2 linked regions of the Lepisosteus oculatus genome follow. The protein of the gene in region 2 interacts with the protein of the main gene of each other region in a biochemical or structural test. Links are inferred from orthologs where the notes say so. Each region holds a gene or a part of one and is shown on either strand. Other genes may lie near its edges. The genes, in order: lmnb1; lamina-associated polypeptide 2, isoforms beta/gamma.

Region 1 (15,746 bases), on a different chromosome or scaffold from region 2:
AGCAGTGGCCAGCACTGCCTCCTTGGTGTTAAAAGCCGCTTCTAGTTCCTTCAGCTTGGCTTGAGTTCCAATAAGGTCAGCTTCTTTCTTTGCATAGCTGTAAAAAAAACCAAAATGCTGCTGACCTGCTCCAATCTACCCAAAGGAAAAGCACATTTGAAAAATCAAAAATGAAAAAGTTTCAAACATTAGTTAACACTTCTTTTGTTAACTTGGATGTCAAGATAAGATAAGATCACTTTATTAGCCATATACAATTTCTTGCATTAGGAATTTGTCTTCTCGCATACCCCAGCTTGCTCTGCATGAGACACACAGGCACACAGACGGGGAGAGAGAAGCCTGGGGTCAGAGCGCAGGGTCAGCCATTTATACGGCTCCCCTGGAGCAGTAGGGGTTAAGGGCCTTTCTCAGGGGCCAAACTGAGTAGGATTCTCCTGCTGTTTAAATTAGAATTATACAATTAAAAATACAATCAAAATTAGAATCATACATTAGTAAGAACCCATTGACAAAATTCAACTGTACTTATCCTAATTATACCACAGCACTGGAATACAGTTTAACAACTGTGGAAGGTATAATAAAAAATAAATGATGGCAATCTAAGACAAACCTGTAAACCTGTTTCATCTGAACCACAGAGATTATAGAACATAAAATGTCTTAAATGGTCATATCATGTTGAAATATTCATAACATGCTTTAAAACTCTGAAGTTGAACAAAGAAAGGGAGGTGTCCAAGCGAACAGTTTATTAAGTAATTACTTTGGAAGGTATATAGTGTACCTAAGTCACAAAACAAGTAGTCAAATGGAACATTAGCATGGGAAAGTCATCACACAGTAACACTCCTCTTTAAAAATTGCCATATGTTTTTATTATGGCCTGTTAACTACACTTAAACTGCAATACAAGGATGCATCCATTCCAGGAATCCCTTTTCTAAACAATGCTCGTTTCAATGTAGGTGAACAGTAACGAGAGGAAATCAATTTAGCACAAAAAAAAAGTGTTAAGGCATTTGGTAAGAAGTGACCTAAAAAGGCTCAATTTAACAGCTTTTTTTTTAGCCGTTTGGCACCTAGACAATGATCTAGTGTTCAGTGTCCAAGGTCAGCCACAAAGAAGATTCTAAATGGCACAGTACAAAGAGCTCCATCTACTGTATGAACATGGAACAAAAACAACCTTAACACTAAACCACAGCACTTTTGAACTTTTAACAGCGAATTAATCCTATCATTAATTTAAGCCCTGTCAAAGTATAATTTGTAGACAAAAGTAAATTTTATAAAAACAGAACCAAAGCAAAAGCTCAAATAACTGCAATATGAACAGGCATAACATCATTAAACAATACCTATGTGATCTCACATGGCAAAGAAAATATGATCATGATACTGGACTTGTAATCCACACCAAATAAAGAATTACTTATGCATTTGTAGAAAAGGTTTACAGAGTTTGGATATTAAAGGTTTTTGAAATCACTTTAAGTTATCTTTCAGTAATGACCATGATACACTCAAGTGAGTGACTAACCTTCAGACCTTTAATCACTTCATGTTAGTGTTGACTGGGCATGGGTGTTGAGGCTACTTACCCAGTTAAAAAAGCTGAAGACATCATGCCTTTGGTATACCATTGCTATGACGAGAGCTCGACTAAATAAGTGCACTGATACTTACTATCTACAGTGTTCCGAGTTACCAATTCTTAACCTGGGGAAAATGACAGTCAGTCAATGACAGACCATGAGTCAGAAAACGTTGCCAAGATTGATGGGGAGATCCAAGTGTGATGGTTGGATAGGAGCGTCTAGTCCCAGGACCTCATTTGCTACTATTCCTGTAGAATCCTCCTGACATGACAACTTTCCCACAGGACAATGCACACTCTAATGCAGCTCATTAACTGCTACCTTGCAAGATGAGAATGTGACAGTTATGTCATGGATGCCCCACACAATGGACTTGAGCCTGCTTTGGGGGAATAAATGTGCAGGTCCCAGTGTTTACAGACCATTAAATAGGTAGATCCCTGATTAGCCTTTACGACACTAACGGGGCAGAATCCCAAAACATCACTTTCACAACAGACCATCTGTTGATTACCAATATTGATAATATGCATAACATTTACCAAGATCATCTACTCAATAGGATGGCAACACACGTGCTACAAAATAAGGTGGCTATGTTTAATAAGGTTTCTTTTCCATTTACATCCACCAGTCATTGGATACTTTAAAAGTTACTTGAAAACCATTATTGTATCTTGATTTGTACAAATCATAATTGTCTCAGAATTTGATCCATAAATGGAGAAATCTTATTTGTTGTATACCCAGGATGTGGGGCCTCAGACGTCTATCTTATGGTTTGGTAGAGAAGGAGAGAATGTAGCAGAAACAGCTCCACATTCTCAGCTTAGCTCCACACACCTGATGTAGTACTGAAGAAAGCCTGTGCCCATGTAGCTGTTGCAGGGATTAAGTGAAGAGACTAGAGAAAACCTCTCAAGGATGTTGTGAAAAGCTGGGCCAAAAAGACAGCACAACAGTTTCCAGTTACAGTGAGTGCCCTTGCAACCTGATAGTTACCTTAAAAAAAAAATTTAAACACTTAAGAGTTCACATACCTAAAAAACAGATGAATGGGAGATATTGAAAAGAATGGGATGTATTAAGCATCAGACTTAATTTAAAACCAGGGGGCTTTGCAGGACAACATATTCACCTCAGGTTTACATCTTCCAATGAAAAATCAAACACAAAAGGTGTGTGACAAAGGGTGTCAACTGTAGGGCTCCAAAAATAAAAGAGAATGCAAATAAAGACAAACTAGTCCCACAGTACATAATCACTTTAAAAAATAAAAACCAGAGGCTTAACTAGTAAATACACTCGCTACGAACAAGCTGAGCTCTAAGATCCAGACACTGAGTTTAAATCTCAAATCATGTCACTACCCATGAGCAGGAAAGTAATTGGCTTAACACTGCTAGTGTTAAAGGACCCACGCTCTCCTCAGTTCTGGTACCAGTGATTTCCTAGAGCACCTGCAGATTTGTGTGGAAGACAGTGAGGGACAGAGTGTGTAGTAGGTCAAAGGAGAATGAATGGCAAACATGTGAACTGGCAAGAGCAGCCATCTTGCCTGTGTGAGTACAGGGGTCAGTGTAATGTGTCAGGACAAAGACAACAGGCAATTACAGAGGACATTATAGGCAACTTTCACATCGTGATTTTGAAATAGGTTTATTTATAAAATTTACGGACCTATGAGAGATTTCTGTATAACATTAACAGTCCCCAAAAAAAACGTCTCGGTATGCTGCTGGTGCCGATGACATATTCCGAGATGCCCAATACTGCTAGTTTTGTAATCAAACTTGCCGCAAAATTAAGGTTAACAGATTTTTCTTCTAAGGAATTACAATTCTTAGTATTTAGTGTAATAAAATGATCAAAAACAAACTTCTGAGCAAATAAGGGGGAAAAAAACAAGCAAAAATGCTACAAAGCAATGAATACTGTACATGCAGGGAAGAACATTGTGCAACTGCAATGACCTAAACCCTACTGGAATTTCAAACATTTTACACGCCCCAAAGAAAAACTGTACTTAAAACAGAAAAGGCCCCTCCCTTGATGTGTTGTATTCAGCAATTGAACCAGGAGACTCAAAAAAAAAAAAAAGACGGCCAATTTTATCCACAGTCCAAATTTCCTTTGGCTGGCTTTGGTTTTCTACAACAATCATAGCTGTGAACTTTAGAACTGTGCAACCTTATTTCATTCACAAACCTTTAATTGAACACTTGAAGCTCAATATAACTAGATCTTAGAACATACTGAAAAATGTGTGCATCTGTTTATATGTATTCGGTGATGACTGGTGTCCCATCCAAGGTGTATCCTGCCTTGCACACTTTGCTTGCCCGGCTAGGCTCCAACTCCCTCACAACACTATTAGTTAAAGCAGTTAGAAAATGAGTGTATGGAAGGAGTTCTTAAATCTTATCTAGTACTCTCATACATGAAGTCACTAGAATCTCCACTGTCCTTAGTGGATCACTACATTCAAACAATACAGCACACCTATAACCATAAGTACATGTACTTCTATGTTTACATTGAAAGCGTCCCAGGAATGTGCATGTAGAATAAGAATTAATATCAATTACAGGTCTCTTGAAAAAGAGTATATGGCAGCCAAGACAAAAGGGCTTTGTAATTTATGGTTTAAAAGCTAGAAGGGAACAACTGGCACAACTGAAGAGTAACTGTGCAAAACCAGTCTTCCAGCTGCTGTGTCACTCAAGTGATCTGCACTAAAAAGGAAAACCATTGAAGAGGAAGAATTAACACTTGTAGCAAAAGACCAACCCATATGAAGGATTCTTGTTTAAATCTATTAATCGGCCATTGTGAATGAACATTTGTAAGACATACACAGATTTTGACAGCAACTGTTCTTATATCAATGTTACCATTAATATTCATCACCTCATTCAAATAGTCTTGCCAATTGTGTTATACTTTTTGTAACTGCACAAAATCAGATAGCTTTCAGTTTCCTGTATTTTGTATTTTAATTAAAATAAACAGTTCACAGTTAAACAATTCTTTAAAAAGCAAGTGTCCATGACCAAATGGCTATGGTTAACTTGCTCAGAAAAGGAAAATTAATAAGGGGGGTAAATGTACTGTACTTGATCTGGCTCAACTTTGTAACACCCAGGGTTTATCTACAGTATTAGAATAATGCAAGTACCTTAAGGTGTTGAGCTTAGCCCCTGCAATTTCCCAAATAACTGACGGTTCGCACTAGAATAAGTGTTTGCAAATAGTTATGGCTTTTACAAGTACTATTTAATGTCCATTAAGAAATCAATCAGTTTACAAAATTCATAAAACTTCCATTAAGTTTTGAAAACATTTTCCTCTCAAGGAACAAGGATTGGACTGTTAAAAACCAAGCATTTTAAAGTTGGGCTTCCTGCAGGCTTTACGAGCCACAGGAAGACAAGTCAGACTCAAAAGAAACTATAAGTGAATTCTTTCTGAACTTCAGACTTTCTGAAGAATAACAAACAACTTTAACAGCTTCAATTGATGTATGAAACCACCTGTTAAACACCAAGTGCAGAAATATACGATTGCAACTGTTCCAATTAATCTTTGAACAGATGCGGATGTAGTGCAAATCTGTGCTGCTGTCAATCAAATATTAACCAAATCTTATTGTCCTCTAAACTATTAAAACCTTTGTGTATCGCTCCTTGTACTTTGGTTTCTACTGCCACGACAGACGACATGTTGATTGCAGTTCCTGCTTTATCATAGGGATTCAATAGCAAAAATTGACTTTTCAAATGCCATCAAATATACACAATAGTCCTGGCAAAGTTACAATGTCCTAATTAAAGCCAGGCCCGCAAACATTGAGTATTTGAAGGTTGAAAGTCCATATTTCACACCATCGTATCTTTTCGCTGCAGTTTAATTTACAAGAATTGATTTTAAGGTGTTTGAGAGTTTCAGTTGCTAATTTAAGCATCGAGTTTATCGGGTATGTGGAGGCTTTTAAAAAAAAACAATGCAAGTTATAATTTCATAACCCATTCCAATCAAGATTAAATGAACATAATAAACAATATGCTTTTGTGTACATGACTTAAGTTCTTTTTTCAAACTGCTTTGGTATAGACCAAATTTTTAAAAAAGCATTCCTTGAAAATTGCTTAAGAAGCAGACAAGAGACACTACATTTATTAAACGGGTATGTTAAATCTCTAATTATAACCAACGAGTCTATTACAGCAGCAAGTTGAACAGAGAAAAGGTTTTTACACAAAGGACTGTGGAAGTGTGGAATAACCTACGAATCTAACTTGCTGCGTGTGTTTAATTCGTTAAGGATCAACCCAGATAGATGAGCCGCGTAGACCTCTAATTATGCTCTATTAAAGCCTGTTTCAAAAGCGAATATTTGTGAAGAATTCAAGCTTACGCAGCAAGAGGGGGGTCGCGGCCATCTTTACTAGACCTTCAAAGTGAGATGACAAGTACAACTTGATTAACATTAGTCTCTTTTACTTGACAAGTACACACTGGCTAGAGAAAAAAAACATTAAGGTAACAACATTCCAGTCTAGAATAATAAAAATCAGCTAGTGCAATTATCCAGCTCCCCTTAAAAGGGAGAATTTCGTTTCCCTACAGGATGAGAACAGGCATTATTCCAGGCATATTTCAGACGCCTACGCCTAACAGGAAGCTGGAAAAGAAAGGCACGATGACCCGAACACCCTAAAAAAATGCACTGTTCATCGACGGGTCCGAAATTTGACCTTGAGCAAATTGATCCTACTTTCAAAATAACAAAAAAGCGCTCGCCCCTTGGGTGACGACTGTGTCCTCTTTGATTTAAAAAAAATAAATTAAGGATCCGAACATTATTCAACTCAAGAATGCGTCCCTGTGTTGCAGAACACAACCCCTCCCCTTTTCCACATATGGCCAATAGTAGTAGTATTGTAGCGTACTATCATTCGGTCTACCAGCATGGCAGAAGACCCATTCATTCCCGGTCACTGAGCTGCGTATGGGAGCGGATGCTTCCGGAGCAATCAACGTAAACAGGCCGTTAAAAAAAATCTCGGGACATTATTTGAGTTAGTCGAGCAGGACTGGCGACCAAAACAATCATCTTTGGCCGACTTGCTGCAAAAAAAGGTCATGTGGACTTGGGGATTTCAATAAACAGCTTTGTCGAGAGGTACATACCCCTCCCCCACCAAATCGGAAAGGTGTGGCACTAGGAAAACTGACAGAAGAAAAGGACACAAAGCGACCCACAGTTCTGCAATGCAACTTAATAAACTTCCCCATGACACTCAACAGAAGTGACCAAACACGCCCCTCTGAGGCAATCAATGAAAAGCGACTTCCAGAAGAATGTCTAAAATATATTAATTTTCTGTCGTTGTTCTTAAACCCTGTGTAGTTAATGTCGTTTGACTAATATTTTTTTTTATTTATAATTTCTACCGCATTGCTTACTACAAACACATTGGTTCGTTTACAATTAAATACGACCCTCACAAATCTTATAAAGTGTGTGTAAAATATTTTAACTTGTATACAATGTCAATATGCACAAGGTTATATATAAAACATGATACGATTTCATGGGATTTTACCTCCAATTCAGATTTAGAAAAGCCTAATTGTCCATATAACGCCAAAAGCAAACTTACTTCTGGAGTAGCTGTTCATGCTCCGTTTTGATCTTGCCCAGCTCAATCTGCAGCCTGGCTCTTTCCCTGGCTGTGTCATCCAGAGATTTCCTGGTGTCTGCTAGCTCGGTTTCGTACAGAGACTTCAAGCCAGTGATCTCCCGGCTCCGCACCTCTTCTTTCTCGGAAATTTGCAGCTGAAGAACGCTGTTTTCCGATTCCAGACTCCGCACCTTTTCGATATAAATGGCCAGACGGTCGTTCAGGTTTCTCAGTTCTTCTTTCTCCCGCAACCTGGTTATCCTTGTGGGGCTCAACGGGGTGCTAGCAGCGCTGGAACGAGTGCTTATTCTTTGCCCAGCCGGGGTTGAAGTTGCTGTCGCCATTGTAACAAAAGAAGCAAATGTAGGAGACCAAATTGCGAAACAAAGCAGGCCGAAAAAAAACCTATGCAGGACAAAATCCCTAAAAGTACAAAAAAAAAACCAATATGTAGATTTTCCCACAAAGCCAAGCTATTTATAAAATCAAGGAGCAGAAATCATATATTTATCGTGATTCCCTTCTTTAAAAAAATATTATAAATACAAAAGGGGTATAATGAAGCCAATAAAAAAGAAAAAAAGCGCAAGCAAAGCAAAAAGGGAAAAGCAAGCTAGGAATTGACCAAAAAAAACCCTACAAACCGCCTCCCTTCACTTTGTCTCCCAACCGAATGAAAGAAAGGGTTTGACTAATATGGCCGCTCATTAGCATCTAACAGCAACGTGACTGTATGAAACCAATGATATAAAGTAACGAAAGCCGTCCTTTCAAATTGCGAGTTTGAGACAAAATTCAAAATAAATCCTAAACGCACGTGTGCAGTTTAGCAGCAATTTGTAATGTATGTTGACTATCAAAATAAACTTTTCTTTCAGGTTTTAGAAAATAATATATACAGATGGTGTATAATGACTACATGTTTCTGGCGTCATTTTGATGACTTTGATAATTCTTGATTGACTGTGATAGACTCGATTGATTGTCTAACCGCTGAACCACTTCGTTAGTAAGAGACGTAATCGGGCACCGGTGAAAAAGTGACTACACGAAAGCAAAACACAAAATAAAACGATTGACCAGTTATTTCACAGGACAACGCCTATTGTTCGTCTGCATCTTTGGATGGAAATCGCCGGTAGTGTAACCAAGATTATGTGGGTAGTTTACATTGGTGGACATGTAAGTAAGGTGCAAATGTAGAACGATTCGTTTATTGCCGCAGACCAGACGGAGAGGTTTAAATTGCCTTCACAGGAGTATGTAGTCTCTACAAATCTTCACTATTAAACCAGAGTGTACAGAGCTACATTTACTAAGTCCTGAAATACTGTATCTTCTGCTGCGCTTCCCTGCCGACTCGGGAAGGTATTGAATAGGACAACACTTGTACTAACGCTGGTCCTGTAACGGCTTTCTTGCGCGATAGAAATGCGACAGCAGTGCAGTGGATGCTATTTGACTTGAGCCATTTTGAAAAGTTGTCGGATTTATTCTCACGATGTGTGGCATCTAAAGTTTGGAGATCTACTATAAGTAACATAGACTCTATGTGAGGAATGAGTCAGAATCCCGCAAACAACGCAATCTGAAAGTTTTACAAAGCCCGAGTCGCAGCTCTACAGCTTTTATTGCCTCCAAAAGTTTATAGACCTCTTTGGATAACAAATGTTGATCAGCACGATGAGCTGTTGCGATGCTTTTTTAAGTTTTTGATGCTCAATATTATAAGGTTTTGTGGTTTCTGTTTTTGATTGCCTTAATTAACAAGACTTGATTGTAGTGCCATACTGTAGTTGCATGTATAATGCAAGGATGTTTTTTAGAAATTTTAATTTAATAACCAGTTTTCTTCCAAATATTTTAAGCATCCATATTTATAGTACTGAATTTACATTCTATACATATTTAATATTCCTAGGAATATACCTTGAATCAGTTCCCATAAATTTCAGAAGAGGTCTGGAGGCATGCATTACTTTATACTAATTTATGAAACAAACACCCTGGTAATTGTTAATCGTTGGATATAATTTAGATTTAAATCTATCATTTTTTACAGAATTTTTTCATTGTTTTTTTTCACACAAAAAGTTGGAATCTTCGTTCAAAAGTTGCTAAAGCAAACAATGGATATGAAGTACTGTAAATTCTATGAACTGTAATGATTTGCTTTCTTGATAGAAATGTGAAGAAGAGATATAGGTGCTAGACTTTTCTAACATTTTTTCTTGCTTCTATAGGATAGCCATCAACCAGTAACAGAGATAAAAAGTGGCCCAAACTTAGGTAACCTTTTGCTTCATTTCTAAACGGTACTGTATGTACAATTATTTTCAACACTGCTGTAAAAATTGTTGCATTTAACAAATGTAATCCTTATAAATAGCAAAAACTGTTTGAGATATGCATTCTTTTTATTGAAATTGAATGCACTTGAATATTATCCAGTGTGAAAATTATCACCAAAGCTTTGTTCTTTACATAACAAAAGTATAGGGCTCTTTACAATTTTATTAAATTTTATTAGCTACTTTGGAAAAATGGTGACACAGAAAAATTGTGTTTGAAATGGGCAAAGGTTAGCTACCCTTCCTACAACTGTGCTTTAAAGGGTTCAGAGGGACTGAGTGTCTTCATGCCAGTCAGCTCAAAGCCCTTTATTCTGAATTTGCTCCAGATGGCATAAGAATCAATTCTGAGGAAAATCATTTCATTTTTAACCTTCCACACCTCTCCCAACACAACACCTGAATAGTTTAATAGATCATCTTTTTAAATAATAAAAATATGATTTATTGGGCCCACTTGATAACTAGTTTGGGAACTGCAATATTTATAATTTTTTAACAATACTAGGGCTACTTTCATGAGCTCAACTTAGGGACAGGAGTGGGAGGCCTCCTCATTTGTCATTTGTCTCCTCTTAGCTTTGGCTCCATGGAATCAAAAGTACATTTTTGTTCATACTCACTTTTTAAAAAAAATCCCACTTGATAATCCCACTAACAATTCAGGAAATATGAAATGTCTCTGCTGTGCCTTTAGCTGTCACATTTTCATACCATGATCTCAGAATCCTCTGATAATGAATGGGAATTCAGCAGTATTAACAAATACAATTATATCTTTTACACAACTTTAAAACAAGTCTATATTGTGTAGTTTAAATGTGAAATTCTGGGAGGTGGTGAGAAGAAATAATCCATATCTTAAATCATACCTTCTTTGAGTATTTAAAATATTTATAATCTCACCACCAGAGAGTAATTGATCTGTTGAAAAGCTGTCATGTGTAATTCATAACTAAAGTGACAACTTTTGCTAATGGTTTTATACCTTTAAATAATGTTGTGAACTATCTAAATCTTTATACAAATATTTTAACTCACACTTTGTGTCCTAATTATTTTAATATAAATCTATTCATATGTATATACTGTAATATGTATTCCCAAATTAACTAGTTTTCATTTGAAATGAGTCCAAAATTGTTTCGCAAACTTTACTTTATTTCAGATTCTCAATAAAAACTCTATGATTAAGAATTACAAGCTTATTAAAACTATATCTCTTGATCTGGAAAGTGTTTCTGTTCTAACTCTTGACTGTGCAAGGCAGAATTCTCTTTTCATAGAAACACTCTGTGCAACACACTTTTTGAAAATGTTGTCTGAGGTAGTAATTTAGCTATTCAGCTAGATAAAATATTGCTTTCATTCAAAACCACATATCCTAAATGTTATCTGCAGGCAATTTAAATTATCATGAAATGTTTCTCAATAGAGAAAGAGAATTTATTTATAACTCCAAAGCATCGACTAATGCAAAACAAGCCTTCTCAATCAAGAAGACTAAGCAGGACAAAGCTGTCTCCTTTTAGCAGTTCTAAACAGGGAAAACTATCTTTCTCTATTGAATAAACCACATTTTTTGTTATGGTATACCCCTGGCCAGGCAAGAATGCTATATAAAATTAAATCACCCACTTCAGTAACCTAATATTGAAGACTTTCACAATAAAACACAAACTTAAAACAGCTCTGTTTTGTCTTTTAAGAAACAGGAATACAACAGTAAAGATAAGTAGTTTTTACACCTCTATTATTAATCTGCAGCATATCGCATTTGAAAAAAAAATATCTTTACAGCACTGTAATAAGAAAAACGATGGGAGCTGGAACTACCTTTTGTCTGAAACCTTCATCTAGTAGGTTTAACATAAACCAAAAAATTCACATTTGGGTGGAAACACAGAGACGAACAAATAACAATTTAATTAGGAAAGAACCATCCAGGACCGGAACATCCACAGCTTGCTTATATTCCTTGGATCTGCTGTTGTACTTTATATTCAGCCCGTCTGTCCAGTGTGCGCTGGCGGAACATCACAAGGACGGCAAACAGGGTGCTGAACGTCAGCATAGCACCTTCGAACTTCCAGAACTTCAGCTCCTCTGCGGCGGCAGAGCGACAACTAAAATGCAAATAAATCACTTTTTCAGCTAGCAAATCTGTTATTATTGCGCAGTTAATGACAGCCTTTACATCTCTAAAATCTCCTCTGCTGCGTACAGCAGATGTTTTTACAAATAGCGCAGTCTTACAGCAGAACAGTGTCAGAAAGCCATGAAGGACATTGTCCAATTCAACATCACAACTAAAGGAATTTAAAAGGTTTGTCCACAGCTGGCTGAGGATCCAAACCAATGGGGAAAAAATGATGATGGTTGATGTAAAATTAAATGTGGCCATTTTACAGTACGATATTTTGTAGTTTTAATAAAACAACACAATATAATAAACCATTTTGAAAAGACTGGAAAAATTAATCATTTACAGTAGATATACATAAATTAATTCTAACACAAGCTGTAATGAACGATTTTGAAATAATCTCCTTGGGTTAATAAGCCACAACAAAAAGAAGATGAAAGGCCATATTTCAAGAATGATGTAATACAGCCATACAAATTGTCATAAGATTGTTAATGTGAAAATATGCAAAAATATCAAACAATACTTGTCTTAAGGGCTATTCAAGTATAGAATAAGCTACTATACCTACTGATGTTGTAGAGGTCAATACCCTGGCCTCTTGCAACTAATTGAGATCCTTGCCTCTACTACCAATTGGGCTAAATGGGCCAAATGGCCTCATTTCATTTGTAACCCTCCTAATGTTCTTACCTTCTATGTTCAATGAGGCCTGAGGTGTTGCACTTCAGTTCTTCTACAAAGCCAGAAAAAGTACACTGTGCTTCAGTTTTCTGTACAAAACAGCAAAGGCGAGCAAGTCAGTCAAATTAATTCATATATCCACACACTGTACAATGATCTCTTGAACATCCTACAGCTCCATTTGATTTTGGTGTCTTTTTAAGAATATTGTGTGATCTCAAGTAATTCTATAAAAGGAAGCACTTTTTAACACACTTCTTATAATAAATCAAAGACAATACTATGCTCAATGGAATGAACTCTGATACTAACAATAGTAAGTAGTATCAGAAGAAGACCAAGAGGAGCAAATAAAGCATCATTCTAATAAGCTTGATTCTTATTCTGAAATGTTTTCCTTTATATCCAATGAAGTGTTACCTTTACTGCTTCATCCCTGGGAAGGAAAACCATACAAGACCTTATTATTCTCTAATTATAAACACTTCCTTTTCACATTCTGCCTTTCATTCATCCACATCTGGGCACAGACATGAACATATGGATTGATTTACCATCTGATAATCTCTGCACAGAAAGCATGTGCGCAGCACTGTAAATTCTTCTGTCTCCCAACAATGAAGTGGCTGTGCACTGCTAGCTGAAAAAAAATGAATTAGAGACACATTTAAAATATGTGAATTGTGCATTCAGCTCATATTTAGTGGTTTTCTTTTAAATGTTCACTATTCATGAGGTTTCATTTGACCAAATCATAATGCAAATACTTACACATTTCATTCTGTGTTAATGGTGCTCCATCACAGGATCTATAAAATATAAAATTATATAGGATTATTTTTACAGCCTAGAAAATTCTATCAGTGGAGTCTAGCTGACTACAAAGTGACCTACAATTTTATTCCAAGCTTAATTGCTCTAAAATAATTGATCACATTATTAGTTGACTGGACAAAATTGAATGCTTCTATCAAGAAATAAAAAGTTTTAGAGTTAATAATTTACTTTATTCTATCATTCGATATTATCCTTGTCCAGTTGACCAATTCAGATAACTGAGAACAAGAACTGGAATGAAGAGCAGAAGGACTGAAGCCCTCTAGAAGATGGTTTAATATTACTTGTTTATACAAAAAGTGATGGCATAAACAAGACAAACCATATACTAAATATTTCAGGTGGGTAGCTGCGTCAGCATGCGTAGGCTGCAAAGGAACAAGTAATAGGTTTATTCCATGCTGAAAAAAAGAAGAAAGAGAACACAACGTTTCAGCCGTGGAGCCTTCTTCAGGTGTCAAAATATACGATATACTAAATATATTACCCCAAAATAAGTTAGCAAGAGATAAGAATAAACCCCATTTCCCTAAGTAAATGATTCCCCCTGCTGGTACAAATGTGTAAGTGTTAAAACTAAAACTATAATTCACTGGACTGTAACATAACTATAGTATAGCTGAAAACAGTATAAAATGTTTGTTATGCGAAACACAGATTTTAGATTCGGCTACACCATAAATTTACAAAGTAAAAGAAATCATTTTTAATAAGGCTTTTTTTGTTCATTGTTGACTGTAGAAACCTAAATGCTAAATTTCCCTTCTAAACAAATTATTTCGGCATTAATTTAGGGGCTTTTCGTGGTTTCGATGATATTATTCATACCCATCCATCCATTTTCTAACCGCTTCTTCCAATTCAGGATCACGGTGACTATTCCGGCAAACGGCGAGTGCAAGGCAGAAACCAGAGCACCCAGAGGAAACCCATGCAAATATGGAGAGAACATACAAACTTCACACAGATAGCATCACAGGTCCAGAACTGAAGCTATGGCGCTAGTGCTGAGAGTTAGCAATGCTAACTACTGTGCTTTCCATTGTTCATACCATTTCAACAAAATGCCTTTTCTTTGTAATATTTTATTTAAATAAGACATTTCTAAGCACATTTTCTCTATAAGATTTATTTTACCATTTGTTTCGGGGAAATTGATCTTTATTGTGATGCAAAGCATTACTGTTTTCTCCTCCAGTCTGTTCTGAAGGCTTCTCATACCAGCAATGAAGGATGTTAATGAAATATACACGCGGTTTTCAGTCTTAACAAGAAAGCAGCATGGAGCCTCTTTCAAGTAGCCAGAAACCACTGTTTCATAAAGTTCAGTAGTTTCATAATGTACAGTAGTTGTTCCTTAAACCAATCAGCAGTGAAAATGAAATAGAATTGATTTGGAGAAGGGCAGCATGGTAGCACAGTGGCTGGCATCCTTGCTTTGCAGTGCCGTGACCCCGGGTTCAATTCACGAGCTGTTATCTGTTATCTGTGTGTTCGTATGGGTTTCCTCTGGGTACTCTAGTTTCCTCCCTCAGCCCCAACACATAGTACAGTACATACTGTGCTGATAGGTTAATTGGCTTCGGTGAAAACTGGCCCTTGTATGAGTGTGTTTGTGTCTTTCTGTGTGAGCCCTGAGGTGGACTGGATTCCTGTACAGGGTGTACCCGGGCCTTGCACCCACTGCTTGCTGGGATAGGTTCCAGCTCCCCTACAACCCCGTATTGGATGAAGCAATTAGAAAATGGGTGAATGATCTGGACAACAGTTCAATGGTAACCAAACCCGATATCCAATTACATAATGATCCGATTATAAAAAAAACCCATAAAGGTCAAACTCATAAATCAGGGACAGAACTGAAATACCATTTTTGCATGCACACATCACTGGTAAAAAAAAGTACTTTATCATCACAGAAGCCACATCATGTTTATAGAATGTTAATCAGGAGAGCCTGTGTAAAACATCCCACTGAAAGTAACATACTGGTAGACATACACACACTTGAAAACAAATAAACAAATAAATCAAACAGTTAAGCAATCTTAAAACCTTTCTGCTTACCTAATGATTATTAAACTCCAACTCATCCATAAAGAAGACAAAGCACAGAAGCAGCTGAAGTACATCCTTGTGTGCCTGTTTAGTTTTTATGAGGTCACTTGATCTAATTTGTAAACTGACAAAAATACAGAGGGTTATACAGGAACTACTTGTTTCACATAGGCGAACTATGCCTCAAAAGGTGATTTCGAAAGACTCACATGTACATGTAACATAATATTACAGAATACCCCTATACTGTACTACTGTAATGAAAAGAATGTAAATGTAATTTCTCATGTACACGTGTGAAAATGATACTATTATAGAAATGTATTAACTAAAATTAGGTTGATTTTAAAATGAACGCTTCGTAAACTTAAAAAAGACA
Region 2 (15,794 bases):
GGGGGGCACCCTGCGCCCGGCTTCATCAGAACTTTACACAGGCGTCACCTTGGAGAACAGAAACAGAACAGAAAACAAATGCCAACCAACGAGCCAACCACTCCCCTGCGGAGAAAAACGCAGACCCATTGCTTCCTCATTCTCGGGGATCACAGTGTTGGATCGAGGCTGCTTCACAAGTCCCAACGCAGGACCGGAGAGAGAGCCTGTGAGGACAGCACGCGTCGCCACCTGCTGCTGCAGCAGCTGCCTGGCAGCTTGGTGGCGAGGTCAGTTTCTGGATCAGGCCTCTTCGGGCATGTCTTGCAAAGCCCATTCGCTTCTTCCAGCTGATCCAGAGCCTTCCCAGCTACTCCATGTTACCGGGAGAACGGACAGGGGGTCAGCAGAGGTCACAAGAACAATCTGGACTCATCTGCCGTCCCTAATTTAATAAAGAAACCTAAAAAGCACCTCTACAATCTGGCCTAATGCTCTTGAGACTTGTTGCTGTTTGTGTCCTGCAACACTACTGACAGCCTTTACAAGACTGGAGTTGACCACCATCAGAAATGTGAGCAGAAATGAACAAAGGGGACCCCCCCCCCCCCTCCCCAAGATTCCTCAGGGTGCCCCAAAGTGACTGAATTGGCACCTGACTTTTCCGGCCTTCCCGCGTGCTGCTCCTCTTCAAAGAGCTCCACCGAGTCCAATTCAGATTCGGCATAAGTGCATGTCTGCTGTCACAGCTTTAGGTGACTGAGACGTGTCTCTAAGATTTCAGATCAAGTCTGTGACACTGGGAAGGGTGAACACTTCTAACTTTAAAACAGAGAGGATGTCTGCTGAGGTCTGGGGGGTCCCTTGAGCAGAAACAATGGTAAAGTTACCTCAGTATGCCTAGGGCAGTTGTGGATTCATGATTGGAAAAGAGCAGGACAGAAACAGACCCTATAAGATGACATGGAGGAAAAAAAAGAAGGGAGGAGGAAGAAGGAAGAAACAAGGAGAGCAGGGAGAGGAGAGAGGAGTCCAGAGGAGTTGGGACTTGAAGCTTGTGCCAGGCGAGAGCTCCTACTTCTTCATCATCCAAACCAAACCTGACTGGAGCTGAGTACTCAAACCTTGTTGGAGAGAGCGTGCTTTTTTTGTGTTTTCAGGGACCTTACGTTTCCAGAGTAAACGATACCTCAGTTAGATATGTCTTTCCAGCTTAGGGTGCATTTTTATGGATAAGGATACAGGCTCCCATTTATTTTGTGGCATCCGAGAAGCAGAGAGGGAGATTTAACTGCAGGTTGCTTTGTATATAAGGCAGCTTCTCTTTTATGTGGCCTCTGTAGGCATTAAGAGTTTAGTGCTTAGTAGCAGTCTGGGGTTTTCTAGCTGACCAGAAGGTTAGACCTCTGAAAGTGAATTCTCGGGTATATGGTTAGAAATCAAGTACAAGTTGGGGGGTTTTGAATAATTATTTCACTTCTAGACTAAACCACTCTGTCAATTCCTGATTTTCACCAGTTTCGTAGCCCCCCATTTGTAACTATTCAGCCAACACTTTCTATCCACGGCAAATTGGATTCCATTTACACAGCTGGGCATTTTACTGGAATAATTCAGCTGACTCCTCTGAGGTTTGAACCCACAACCCTGCAGTCCCAGGTCCAGAACCCTGAGCACTGCTCCACACCGCAGCCCTGACACCCACACACGGAGAGCACTAACTAACCCCGTCACCTTCCCCAGCCCTGGGAACACCGGCCAAGCGACTCGGAGGGACCTGGAAACACCCGGAATCGTCTACCCCGACACCTGCTCCGCTGAGGGGCAAGGCAAGTGCTGCTAATTGTTTTGCTCTCAATACCTCCGGATACCCGACATTTCAGATGCGCAAAATGAAAACGGAACCGATCCAAACAGAGGCGGACCACCACAGGTCTCAGCCGCGGGGATTTTCGAGTCACGGAGGGCTGAGGCCCTGCGCTTGCATCTGGCTGACTGCAGACACGAGGCACACTCCTCCCCCTGGAAAGCGATTTCCTCAAGAGACAGGCCAAGCCCACTAGCAAAACAACCGCTCTCAGAGCAGGGGGGAGAATGTGAAAAGGCTCTTGTTACAGGCCAGAGACAGCACACTGTGCATCTTCCTAACCTGATCCACTGCAGGAATTTAGTTCCTGAAAAAGACCCAATTGTTTCACAAGTCTGTGGCATGTTTCATTCTAACCACACAATTTAGGACCCAGAAACAACCGAACGGAAGAGAGAGGCAAAGTGTGCTCTATTGGGGAAAGAGTCTTTTTTAAAAAAAGCCCTATTTCTTTACAATTAGTTATCAACTGAACAGGACAGCAGTGACATAATCGTTCCCTCCAGATCACTTACGAGGTGCATCAGGCTTGACGTTCAATGGCCTGAACCTGGATGCATGCGAGTGCTTTTCTGAGATACTAAGACTTTTCAATAGTTAACAGCATCTCTTAAAGGCTTCCCTGAGAAGCTCTGCCCTTGAAGGAGTGCAGCTTGAGCTCCATAATTCAGACATTGTGGGTTCACGTCTGGTTCAAGTGACTGGCTGACTTTAATCGGAATTCCCCAGCTAGTGCACAGCTGGCCTGGAGCCACTGAAGGGCACAGTGGGATTAGCTGAGCAGGTATCTTCTTGGCTCTCCGAGGCACAGTGTCCCCTGTGGCCTCCTGGGTTCCTGCAGCCATGCCTGGTTCTCAATGAGGGATTCACCTCCCATCCAATCAGTACTGACCCCCTGGTACTGTGTGGTGTTACCTTTGATGAATGTGCCTACCCTCCAATCAGAACAATCCTTCGGAAAAGGGCTGGGGAGCCTGTGATGGATGTGCTTACCCTCCAATCAAAGCTCATTCTTTGGTAAAGGGCGGGGCAGCCCATGATGGATATTCTTACCCTCCTATCAAAGCCCATCCTTCATTAAAGGGCGGGGCAGCCTGTGATGGATGTGCATACCCTCCAATCAAACCTTATCCTTCAGAAGAGGGCGGGGCAGCCCCATGATGGTCGTGCCTTTCCTCCAATCAGAGCTGATCCCTCAGTAAAAGACAGTGCTTTATATAATGAATAAATTTTCAATCACAGCTGATCCCCCAGTACAAGGCTGTGCTGCCTGTGATGTGATAGGAGATGAGTGCCTGGAGGCTGGGAGGAGTCTTGAATGCCAAGTTGTGAAAAGTACAACAGGCTATTCCAAATCAGATGTGTAAAAAAAACAAGACAAAAAGTTAAACAGCATCTTAAGCGATGCACTAGACTGGGTACAGCATAAATCAACTTAGGCAAGACGGCAAATCCCAAGACACAAGTTCATTTACATGATCAAATAAAGCACAATAAACTTTAGCCTGCCTTACATAACTAACAGTTAAACTGGAGCACAATTTGTCTAATGGTGCTAAAAAAACAGCTTTGCGAAGAAATCTAAACAACCAAGCTAAGAATAAAATCTTCCAGGCACTGGAAATGAGGTGTTTAACCCACTAATCCACATGAAAAGCAGAATTCCAACACTTTGTCAACATTGTTCTGTTCCAAACCTGGGTCTTCTGATGTCTAAAGTAACAAAGTGTATCGGAAGATTCAGGTAGTGAAACTGTGCAGACTGCACACCTCTCCTGCAAACTGCAGCTTCCACATTGTGTCAACAGGCATGCTGCAAATAAGAAACAGGCCTCAAATGATGCACTAACATCTCAATTTATAACCATCTTGCAAAGTATAATCTGCACAAGAACCACGGTAATTATACCTCACCATAAGAATGACAGTCCTACATGAGGCCCTGGAAACTATATTTGAAAGGAATATACCCTTTACATTCTGGTAAACTGGATTTTGACTGGAGGGGAACTGACGGATATTTGTTTGGAATCCTTACATCAGCAGGGAAGAAAGCTATAACAAGCAAGCTATAACATTTTCACTGAAATTACAAGTGGAAAAAAAAGGTCAAATACTGGTCTAGATGGGTTCAGTACATTAAACCTTCAAGGTTGGATTTTGTTGAGATACAAAATAACTGGTCTCCTCCCTTTTCATATTCAGAAATGTATACATCTTCCTTCTTTTGAATGTATATAGTTTGGTTTAAAAGTTAATTAAATAATCGTAAAATACTAGGGGAACAAATAGGAACAGACAATTGTTTGCCTGAGATGTAAGGCTGAATAATGGTGGTTTATATGTAAAATGGTTTTGTTTTGTTCTCTAAAATATATCTTTTTAAAAAAATAATAACAGTCCTGGAATACATCCAGTGGTGTGGTTCAGTAACAGCGTGTGTGAAACATAACTCCACACAGAAACGAGTGGAGACCTGTGATATAGCGGACACACGGGGAGAATACAGGGTCACTTACTCAATCCGAGACTGAACTCGTCACAGCACACCTACATCTGACGGCAGAAGACAGACGTCAGTCAGGACATGAGAACTGCTCGGACAGAGCACGGACTGTGCTCTGCCGGAGGCAAACACGTCAGGGCAAATGTTACTCGGAAAGTTGCCGCCAATAGCTCATTCAGCATCTTTCCCCCCCACGACCACCTTAAGTGAAGATGGCCACGGCGTCCACTCCACTCGGGAGTGACTGTGTGCCGTGGGAGGGAGTCCCGACGTCCAACCCGCAGTTTCTTCGTGAAGCCCCGGTAGGGGGCGGCGTCACCTGGGCTTGACACTGACGTCAGCGCCGAGACACCCCCAGCGACGGGCCTCGGGTCCAGATTTCCGTCTCACTGACGCACTAATTGCTTACGTGCTAATGGGCCGTTAGGTCCACTCATCCGTCTCAGCGTGACGAGCTCTGTAACGCCCGTTTCTCGTCCCGGACTCAACAAAAGGATTCGCGCAGTCGGCCGCTCTCTCGGCTGGGTCCAAAACAGCAAAGCATCGAGTTGATCGCTCTTAAATGACAACCTTTTAGAGCTGTGGAATTCTTTTTAAACAAAATCAAATCAAAATCAAAGTTTATTGATCAAATGCACAACAATACAGCGCGCAGCGGTAGTTGATGGCAATGAAATGTCTTTTCTGCGAGCTCACAAAATACGAGAATCACAAAAAAATGTTTAAAAAAAATCACAAAATCAAGGTTAAAAGCACAGCAACCCGCCTCAGCACAAACCGCACTTTTACCGGGGTAAAACACAACTCCGCTAAAGTTCAACTCCAGTTCGCCGCCCTGCTGCCACACGGACACCTGTCCTCCTGTGCTTTCTGTAGGGTTTTTTTTCTTTACTCCTTATTAATTTTTTTTTGTTATTGTTATTTTGCTGTTTTTCTTGTTTCTCTTGGTTCTTGTTTACGTATGCCCTTTTGAAAGTGTTGTAGCATGTCTATTTTATTAAACTCCACAGTACTATTTGCGACACGGATCCTATTTTGTGGCGTTACCCGCTACACAGTTTTTGTGACGCTCACACCTGAAGAGGGTGTTTTCTTTCTTCTCTTTCCAGCACGGAATAAACCTATGACTTGTATTTTTGTGATGCGCTATAAATGTTACATGCTGTGGTGTGTTATATTGTACATGCGCAATAGATTGATGTACAATGTTTTTCTTATTTATTGTAATAGAATAATGTGCAATGTTTTCTTTTCTTCTTTTTTTTGTTTGCATTCTATTTAAATGTATAGGAGCGCTGCGTGTCCATAAAACAAAATTCCCTCAGGGGACAATAAAATCTAATCACTTATCTTAAATCTTTCTTTTGCGGCAAGAATAGTTAACAAAAAGTAGTCAAATCCCCCCACCCATCCACCAGGTGACATGAAGACCGAACCCACCCCGTGTGGACCCCCACACCCCAAGACAACCCGCAGGACGCTATCGGGGAGCAAATGTACAAAATCTTGAACCGCAGAATGTGGCTCTGGGGTCAGATATTTTTATTATTCAGATATCCAAGAGTTATTTACCGTGATTTACCGAACTCCGCACAAGAGACATTTTCCCTATCAAGTTTTATAAAACGATATACCCGCTACGCAGTTTTTTTTTGTATGCAGCGCCTTAACTTCGATTTAAATAATGGAGATGATCCGCTACAGTTGAATATTCAGAGAACATATTTTTTTAAGTTTCGGTACTTGTCGATGCGCGCCTTCCGTTTCTTACTGCTTAAGCTAAAATGATTTGATCATTTCACGTATTTGTCCGTGATTTTGCCCAGACGGTTGATCCGGATGTGCAATCGCTCCTCGACTCCGTGCAGAGCCCGTTCTTGCTCTATTGTTTATTTCCCTTCAGCGTGACCGGGCTGCCCGCGTCGGATTCAAAACACAGAAGCGCCGTCCGGCCACGCTACGAAATATTTCAACCCGTTTGCGATCTCCGTCTCGGAAACCGCTCAGACAAAAACGCACGACGTTTTCGAAGCAGGTTGAACACCGGCGAGGTATATGATTTCGGCGCGTCTCGGCGCAGCCGAAAATGAATTATTAATGGCGAAAGGCAGTTCCCACACAATAGCGAGGGGCTCTCGGCTCCGAAGGCGGTCCGAGTGTTTAAGCGGGAAAGTGAGAGACGGAGGCGATTCTCAGGGACAGCATCGCTCACACTCGCAGGACAGGTGAATGAAGCTCGCACTTCCCCCCAAAATTCACACGGGCACTCCGGCACCTGTCCATTTCCCACTCCAATCGCTTTCAATCGCCTTCATGCACCGCATTGTGGTCTCTCCCCCCCCCCAAGATCAACGTTATCTGTAGAAGACCTACTTCGGTCTGGGCTAAGACCAAAAAAAAAAGGTTCTTCAAAGAGAAATAAATGTAAACAGCGGAGAAAACATGCAGACCTCTATACCATATTGTAACGCATGCCTGGCTGGCGGTGGTGGTCCTGCACAGGCCAGAGCTAACTTTTGACAGGAGGCACCACCGAAGAGCACAAGCGACAATTCACAACAATCCGCGCTTGAACGAGCGACCCCGGCACAAGCCGACACAATCTTGACCCGCTGTAGTTGGTTAAAACAAAACAAAGAAATACCAGAAATAAATACCCGGTCCTCTCTTATTATTTTTTTTTTTAAATGGGACAAATAAGTGCTAAAACAACGCGGTCACCGGTTAATAAAATCAGGAGAGTCGATACAAGCTTGCCTGCCCCGGCTACAGTTGCACGCTTTTTTTTTCAAACTGGCGTTTCATTGAGCTAGCGGGTCCCGCAGCAGGGAAACACAATGTAACCAAGAGCTGCAGGCACGCCGGCGCTTCAAGCAGCCGCCGCCGGCGGCCGGGACAAAGTGCAGACTTACCCTCCCGGAGCGGTTCCTGTTGCTGACCGGGGGCGCAGCCGGCAGCTCCTCGTCGCTGGAGAAAGCCTCCGGGGCACCCCGGTTCCTCCTCGCCTTGTTCTGCGCGGTGAGGTGCTGCAAGTACAGCTGGACGTAGACGTCCTTCTTCTGCTCGCCGCTCGGGAGAGGCACGCTGTTCGCCAGCAGCTCGCTCTTCAGCTTATCCTTGGTCAGCACCGAGGGGTCCTCCAGGAACTCCGACATGTCTGCTGGTGGTGGTGGTGGTGGTGTTGGTGGTGGTGACCCGACACGGGGAATCGGCGCCTGTCGCTACGACGCGCAGAAAATTGAACTGGACGGGGAGAAAAAAAAACGTGCAGCGGGCGCCTCTTGTTGGAGTAAGACAGTAACGCCAACGACAGTCGATATCCTTCGCGAGAACCGCTATCCTTTTCTTCCACCCCTCCCCTTCCTCTCCTTCTTGCGCTTCAGACCTGCTCCCCGGGTTTCTGCGGCTGCGGCGATGCGCGAAAGCAGTGTAGTTCCAGCTCCCTTGTTTAAGTGTGTGTGTGTGTAAAAACACGCCACCCTAGCGAGCGCAGACAAACAACCCGGCCCCACTACGAAGCCAGAGCAGCGAGAAAAGAGGGGGGGGGGGCGGCTTTCGCCTCACTGCCCAGTAAAGCCGAGCGCCATTGGGCGGCGTAGCTGTAGAAAGGACCTCGCCATTGGCTTCAAGTTGGAGCGCAGAAGCTGAGGGCTAGGGGCTCCTGGAGCCGGGGTCTGGGTCTGTACGCGCCAGGAGCGAGCAGGACTGAGGGCTGAACTGTGCTGCGGCGAGGAACAAGCCCTGGAAAGATGATGATGATGATGGGATTATAATTACGCGCTTGTAGGAAAACAGAAATCGCCTGGAAGTGCATCAGTTTGCTCGTTAGTGTAGAATAGCCGGGTGTTGTACCGTTGCGTTGCAATGTAGCAGCAATGAATCGGGTGATTTCTGCACCACTTCAGTATTTTCTTATCCGAATGTCAAACGCGTCTTCACGGCAACGAACCAGACCGATTAAGAAGCGTTTCGGAAGCCGGACAATCTCGACCAGTAATGTGGCGTTGAAATAAGTACTAAGTACAACGCTTGCACTACTACTGGTGTCACTATAGTCCAGGGGCACGTAACGCACTGTGTTATGGGTTGTATACAGTACAGTATGTGAGGACAAGCCTCCTGTGAAAGAACTGGGCCATTCTTGGGGAACGGGACTCGTTTACAAAGTGCATCAAGACCCCTGGGCTCCACCACGAGGCCACGATACCGCAGCTTTCTCTCTTTTCGGGGGGGGGAGGGGAGTGTGAAAAGCGGGGTTCTGGCGGACACCCCGAGAATGAGGTTCACACAAAGCGTCAGTCCCTGCAGGTGCAGGAAATCTCGCCCCTCTCCTCTGCATTCCATACCAGAGTCTAGGAGTCCTTATACAGAACTCACACAAGGGAGGAAGGGGATGTTCTTGTGCAAAACTCTTTAAGTAGAATATTGTCTTTTAATATTGCCTTTATTGAACCAAGTGAATTTAGTTGTATTTTTTTGGCCTGTCTTCATTTATATATATGATATTATATGCCATTAAACTGTGGGTATATAATGCTGTAGTGTTTTTGTTGCTTTTTTTCCATCTTTCTTTGTGATGGGAAAATAAAGTTCTTGAAGTGGAGACTCTCCATGCAGCTGGCCCTCATCACCTCCTGATACCAGAGAGACTCCGGACTGTCACCCGCCCCTTGTCCTGATGTCCTGCACCCAAAAACGATCCTCCTCTTTTGGTTGGGAACTTTGGACGTATTGTCCTGCACTTTGGACAGACTGTGGACTAATCATTTTTTTTTCACGTTCCATGTAGCTGAAAGTGGGGTTCCCAGCCCTGATCCTGGAGGGTCGCTGTGTCGCCAGGTTTTCATTCCAGCTCCACTCTTAGTGAATTAAACCAGCTGGATGCCGGCTTGACGGGAGCCATTTCTCAGCTTCTCCCAGCTCTTCAGGTGCTGCTGCTTTAAAGAGACCTGGAAAACCTGTCACACTGAACCTCCAGGACCAGGACTGGACAGCCCTGCTGTAGACACACTGACCCCTCCTGGACCAGGACTGGACAGCCCTGCTGTGGACACACTGGCCCCTCCAGGACCAGGACTGGACGGCCCCGCTGTAGACACACTGACCCCTCCAGGACCGGGACTGGACAGCCCTGCCGTAGACACAGCGCCCCCTCCTGAACCAGGACTGGACGGCCCTGCTGAAGACACGCTGACCCCTCCAGGACTGGGACTGGACGGCCCTGCTGAAGACACACTGACCCCTCCAGGACCAGGACTGGACGGCCCTGCCGTAGACACAGCGCCCCCTCCAGGACCAGGACTGGACTGCCCTGCCGTAGACACACTGACCCCTCCTGGACCGGGACTGGACAGCCCTGCTTGCTTATGTGGTCGAAACGCAATTACCCTTGTTTTTACCCAACTGCTGATATAAGGGTGGTCTGTAGATCTCGCTGGACCGTGGCCCTGCAGGACCAGAGCTGGCCACCCCTGGCCTGCGGTAACCAGATGGAGATCAGGAATGAAGGTGAAGGAATTCTCCTCCTGGAGGTCAGGAGGGAGGCGGGCGGAGAGAGAGGTTCTCCTGGGGACATGGTACTGCAAGTCCCTACCCTCTGGCACCCCTGCTGAGGTGTTCCTTATGGCTGGGCTCGAGTCTGCGCACGTACAGAGACCGGAGGCTGATGACTCAGAGACAGACTGTTGTGTGACAGTGTTGCTGTCGGTTATTTGTGCAGTTGTATTTCCCTATGCGTGTTCCCCTCTTTTTGAGTCTTTCTTGTCTGTGCTTTTGTCTTGTCTTGTGTCTGATACCCCGACAGGGAATTAATTTCTGTGGTGAGGTGTTCAGTACCTCTCCCTGTTGTATGCTGTAGGTTAGAGTCACAGCACAGCCAGGCACAGTGGCGTAGGAAGACATGATTGCTGTTAAGCTATTTCTTTGCACATTATGCACATGGTCAAGTATATTTAAGTGGTCTACTGGTGAGTACTTATCAATGCTATACTAAAATTGAGTAAGGTAGCTCAGACATGTAGCGACAATATAGTGGATTCAAATTTTATCGTGTGATAAGTCTAAATCTGAAACGTTTGTGTCTAAACAATACAGTTGGTGAAAGCTGCAATGCAGTCTCCTAGAACTGGATTATTATAATTCTACGGCCAAGCGTGAAAACCAAGGAAACGTTTGACCAAGGTAAAATACAAGAATATACAGCCCCATGAACTTGCCCGTGACACTCGTGTTCTGGAAAGGATTATGCTTTCAGCAGGATAGAAATACACAACTGTATAAATGAAATAGTAAATACAGTTTTATGGGCACCTTCCAACCAAAACCAAGTAAAGGTCTTCTAAAACCAAATCATCCGAACATTCCCGCCAAACAATTCACATGCCCACTGTTGACAAACAACAGTGTAGACGCAGAGCCTTTCCCTTTCCCCCGGGAGAACGGTGATGGAGACAGAGGGACCGGTTTGTAAACCGGAGGAAATCGGCTCACCCGTCGTTGGATCAAGCAGCAATTTCCCTGGGAGCCCCCCTGAATCGTTTTGTTCCAAACACACTGTAATCATAATCGTAATCCTAGTTTAATACCTCACTTTTATACTCCGTGTGCGTAGTTTTAAGTTTCGTTCTTGTCACCTTGTCTTACTAAAGTTTAATTGTTTATTTTTAAAGGAGGGTGGTGGTGGTGGGGGAGTTCAATTGAATGCTATATTAGTTCAATATATTGAAATAATATAATTATTTGATCGACCAAACGTCGTGGTAATGATTTGCGGTCGGGACACGTCTATCCAGCAGTAGCTGCTCTGGAGTGACGCTCTCTAGCTGGGTATCTCTGTGAACAACCAACAACAATTCCTGGGCCATCTTCTGCTCTTGCTGGGTCTCTCCTGCCTGTCATTTCCAGATTGTCTGGAAAACCTAGTTCGTTTTTTTTTTGTGGCTCCTTCTCTATCTTTCTCCATCTCAGGATACAGCTTTGACCCTATAAGACGGCGAATATAGATAGAGGTGCACTTCCTACTGCACTGTGACAAATATTCTGGGAGGAGAGAAACATTCTTCCCCAAATTTACAAAACTAATCCCAAAGTTCCCACACCTGCCAGAATCACAACAAGTACCAATCCTCCTGGGAGAGGGAGGAGGGAACTCTGTTGAACTGGCAGCCAAGTATGTGATCTCCTGTCCCAGCCTGAGGAGCAGTGAGCCTCTCCCAATAATGCTCCATATGTAAATATCGTATGATCGTGTCTTTATTGTAAATGCCTGCAGATTTTTTTTCATGTTGTATTTGTTTTGCTTGGGGAGCACTGGTTTGACTCATTGGACATGCCAATAAAGCCTCGTGAATTGAATTGAAAAGGTGCAGCGCTCTGCCTGGAACACGAGTGGCGTATCTGACAAATGATGAATCGGGTTCCGGGGAGAATGGGTGTTAAATGTGGGGCTAAAAGGAGGAGTGACCCCGACGTGATTCGAACACGCAGCCTTCTGATCTGGAGTCAGACGCGCTACCGTTGCGCCACGAGGTCCTGCTGGACAGCTCTTTTCCAAAGTCTTTACGTGCCAGAAGACTGTTTGCCGACCGCTGGCGTGAGGACTGGGGGGGGTAATTTGTCGTATCAGGACGAGCATCAGTTTAGTCGACATTCCTGACATAGTAGCAGGTGCAGGCAATTAGCCAACCTCGGCACCTTTATGGTCTCTCCCCCTTTCCCACTTTTTTAAATAATAATAATAATAATAAACGCCCGGCGCTTTGAGACGCGTTTAAACCACGGCGTGTACTGATCGTCGCTGTTGGGACTGACACCAGTTCAAAACCCCACAGTGGAGTTGGGGGGGGCCATCGTGAAAATACAAAAAAAAGTACGCCGACAGGCTAGCGCGCCGTTTCTGTGATCGCAACCGACCAACCCTGAGGCGGTGAAGATGGCTTCCCCGCCGGGTGGCCGAACGGTAGACTGGCGCCCTCTTGTGGCAGCAAGTGCCAACGCGCCTCCTCTCCCGAGCAAGGGAAGAGCGCGGAGCGGGCCAGCATGGGGAAACAGCACATGACGGAAGCCGATCCCCGAGTTCCCAGCCAGAGACATTTAAATCAACACTCTGAAATGATTTTAGGGTTATATTTATACGCATTACACGGCTGTTTCATATGAAAAGACGACGCATCGCGTATAAGGGACCCGAGCACGGCGCTGTCCCCCAGCCCGTCCTCGTTAGTATAGTGGTGAGTATCCCCGCCTGTCACGCGGGAGACCGGGGTTCGATTCCCCGACGGGGAGGCTGAGATTTTTAACATTTTCAATCCCTACGAAGGTGTAGTGGACATTTCTGGAAGCAAGCAAAAACAAAAAAAACAGGGGGAAGGCGGGGACATTATTGAACGGAAAATGTTAACGTTTTCACGCCAATGGAGTCCATCAACCCAGGCACATTATAACGTGGCCAACTGTGACACGGGTCCCAGCCTTCTCTCTGGAGGTACACGTTGAGGGTTAAGACGCCTGTCGACACAAGGAACAAGTAAAGGTCTTATTCCGCGCTGAAAAGAGGAGAAAAGAAACGTCCTTTCAGCTGTGGAGCCTTCTTCGGGTGCCCACTCGAATAACATACTACATACGCTGATAAAATCATTTGAACTTACAGAAGACGTTTAGCAACGCGCGTATTCATAATTATAGTAATTAAGACGTACACCGGTTTATATATATTTTTTTATATTTAGTTATTTCGTTTTTAGTTCGAAATTGTATTCTTCTGTTTATATTAATTCCACGGCCATCATCCAAAAACAGAAAACGCCACTATGTGACATGACATCCGGCAGGGAAAAAAAAAAAGGTCCTACCCCGCCAAAACCAACATTACAATAATCGGGCATAAATCTGAGTTTAGCCCCCGAAAAAATTTCAGCCTCCCCGTCGGGGAATCGAACCCCGGTCTCCCGCGTGACAGGCGGGGATACTTACCACTATACTAACGAGGAAGAGCTGGTAAGACCGCCCATTTTGGGCTTTTTCAGTAATTGCAAAACGTGACAAATTGAAAAATTAGGAGATGGCCAAATATATATACATATACATGCATATATGTCAAACCTAGACCCCCCATAGAGACTGATACATTTATACTTACAGCTGGTTCAGATCCTAAAAGTCTCTTATAATGACCTACTCCTGTTCGTTCACAACATATAACATGTCTCCTCTTTTCACAAATAAAACATTTCTCGGGTCAGCTAGTTTTTCTAGTATTCACCGAGAAACTTTCTGGAATCCCAGTGCGTGTTTTTTTAAAGGGAAAAAAAAGACGACAGAATATGTCCTGACTCTAATTTCATGTGTAATCTGTCTCGTCTGATTTCTCGCCTTATTCTCGGTACAGTAGTTTCACCTCGCCCGAGTCGCTGCTAAATAATACCGCCGAAAAGCGAGCAATTTCTGTAAACACCATCTCTAACAAAGCCTTAGTAAAATGCAAGCAAATGTACAACATATATTTATGAAAAAATGTGGTAAGTTATACAATTACTTTTAAAAAAGAAAATAAAGAAAGCTCTGCTCAAAAGATGTGCTGCAAACACAAACTAATGAGCTTTTAAGCATGCATTATTCCCTAAGAGCTCGTCTATCCCGATGTCGATGGCTTCTGTTCATATACAATCGATATGTTATGATGGACTTTACCAATACTGTACATAAATAATGTTGGACGTCCTGGTGTAATTCTGTTTAAGAATGCATGGTATATTGAGACTTTTTTTAAAAATTGAAGTCCAACAGGTCAAATATTAGGAGAGCTATCCGATATTCAGATCGCTAACCGATATACCTGATCTCGGCGGGGTGCGTGTCAAACTCACGCAAGAATCAGTCATCTTCGACGCTGCGGATCCAACCGAAGTCGCTGCTTCGGCAGAAGTGAAGCCGCCAGAACAGGCACCTTCCGGCTTTTCACCACCAGAGGGCAGTGCAGTACCACCGCAGCGTCGCCCCTTCCTGCCCGACCCAAATGCTCTCGCGTTCCTGTGTTGGGCGACCGACGGCGTTGGCTTGTACGTCCCGTCATAGTTCAGGAAGCACAATGCACGTCAGCAGAATTAAAGATGACGGAAGGGCAGAACGTGGGACAGGCAGACATATATGTCCGTGTAGCACAGGCTCACTAAATGTGAGGACGACATGTACGGCATTTTTTTTTTCATCGTTATGAAAAAATGCAAAACCGGGAGCAGGAACGCGGTGATGCTGAATACTCATCACAAGAGACAGCTTGCAGAGACGATAGAAAGGACTTTAGCTTCGGAGCCTTGATGGCTGTCTGTAAAGATCTCCTTCAGCCTGTACAGGTGGGCTCTTCTGTGCATATGGCACCCGGCAGGTACGTTTTGGCCCCGGGATATATAGTATGGACGTGTGTGTGAGTGTGTGAGAGAGAGCTTCCTAGCCACTGGAACAATGCAATATCCTGGCGTGGAAACAAATGCTCTCCTTCTTCTTCCAAATACCACAAATACTTCATTATCCCCTCTAATAATCGCGATAAAAGCAGTCCCTCAGGCAATCAGAGCCATCAAAGGGGCTTGGAGGAGGTGGTTTTCCCACAGAGGCAGTCTTTCCTGAAGACTCGGAGGGCCCAGGGCAGCTCGGCCTTCTCTGCACAGCAAACCTGTTGTCCAGTGCTGCACATGACAGACCACAGCACTACTGAGGACAGGTCGGGGGGTCACCATCATTTCCTGTATGTGAGTATTTCAGCCTCAGCCCTAATCCGAAGTGTCCTGGTGATGGCAGATTGTACTGCACAGCCTCCCTGTGGCTCCTGTACCATCAGACAAGTGCACAATGCGCAGAGGTGCAGAACTACACCCACAATCTGTTCTTACGCTATGAATTGTATAGTATCAACGGTTTCTAGTAACCAATGAGAATGCACTTCACAACACATTCGACCTTGTCAGTGCAAACTCCACACATAGATCCATTACCATTTTAGCTTTTCTTAAAATAGACCGTGTCGTCAAAATTCTGAGATTTGAGTTAGAAATCCACTTGAGGTCTTTACTGTTACCTTTACCTCAGGTCATGTCAATAACGTTTTAAGCAGATAATAATAAATAAATATGCTCTTTCAGACTCGGAGACTGGCCCTTAGCTTGACCTGTAACTCTGAACTCCCTCCCTCTCTTCTGAGCTCCTGCCAGCTGAACTATTCCTGGACTGGCGTCTGTGCCAGTGAACACTTTGTACTGCCTCAGGTCGAGAGATGGGAGAGCCCTGGCACTCAATTGCTCTCCATCGCCTTGCTGTATTTTGCAACCACTTGTAACCTAAGGCTATGTGTTAGTTTGAATACGCTCCTGTACAGTCCTGGGGATCCAGTCTGCCTCCTCCTGCAGGGCTGGTGATCAGGGATCCAGACTGCATTCTCCTGCAGGGCTG

What was found.
Region 1: the proteins of lamina-associated polypeptide 2, isoforms beta/gamma (region 2) and lmnb1 form a complex in vitro, tested with the Homo sapiens proteins (2 studies listed by BioGRID). The link is inferred for Lepisosteus oculatus from reciprocal best matches to the Homo sapiens genes TMPO and LMNB1.

The regions. Positions count from the first base shown.
Region 1 is NC_090698.1:51,385,528-51,401,273, forward strand, and holds the start of lmnb1 (lamin-B1), read right to left. Parts: upstream 7,978-15,746; 5' UTR 7,636-7,977; coding exon 7,271-7,635; intron 98-7,270; coding exon 1-97. Other genes in the region: protein JTB-like, read right to left, coding at 11,612-11,768, 12,482-12,561, 13,027-13,112, 13,244-13,281, 15,377-15,441. UniProt on the Homo sapiens protein: Lamins are intermediate filament proteins that assemble into a filamentous meshwork, and which constitute the major components of the nuclear lamina, a fibrous layer on the nucleoplasmic side of the inner nuclear membrane.
Region 2 is NC_090702.1:48,992,782-49,008,575, reverse strand, and holds the start of lamina-associated polypeptide 2, isoforms beta/gamma, read right to left. Parts: upstream 8,002-15,794; 5' UTR 7,508-8,001; coding exon 7,265-7,507; intron 1-7,264. UniProt on the Homo sapiens protein: May help direct the assembly of the nuclear lamina and thereby help maintain the structural organization of the nuclear envelope. Possible receptor for attachment of lamin filaments to the inner nuclear membrane.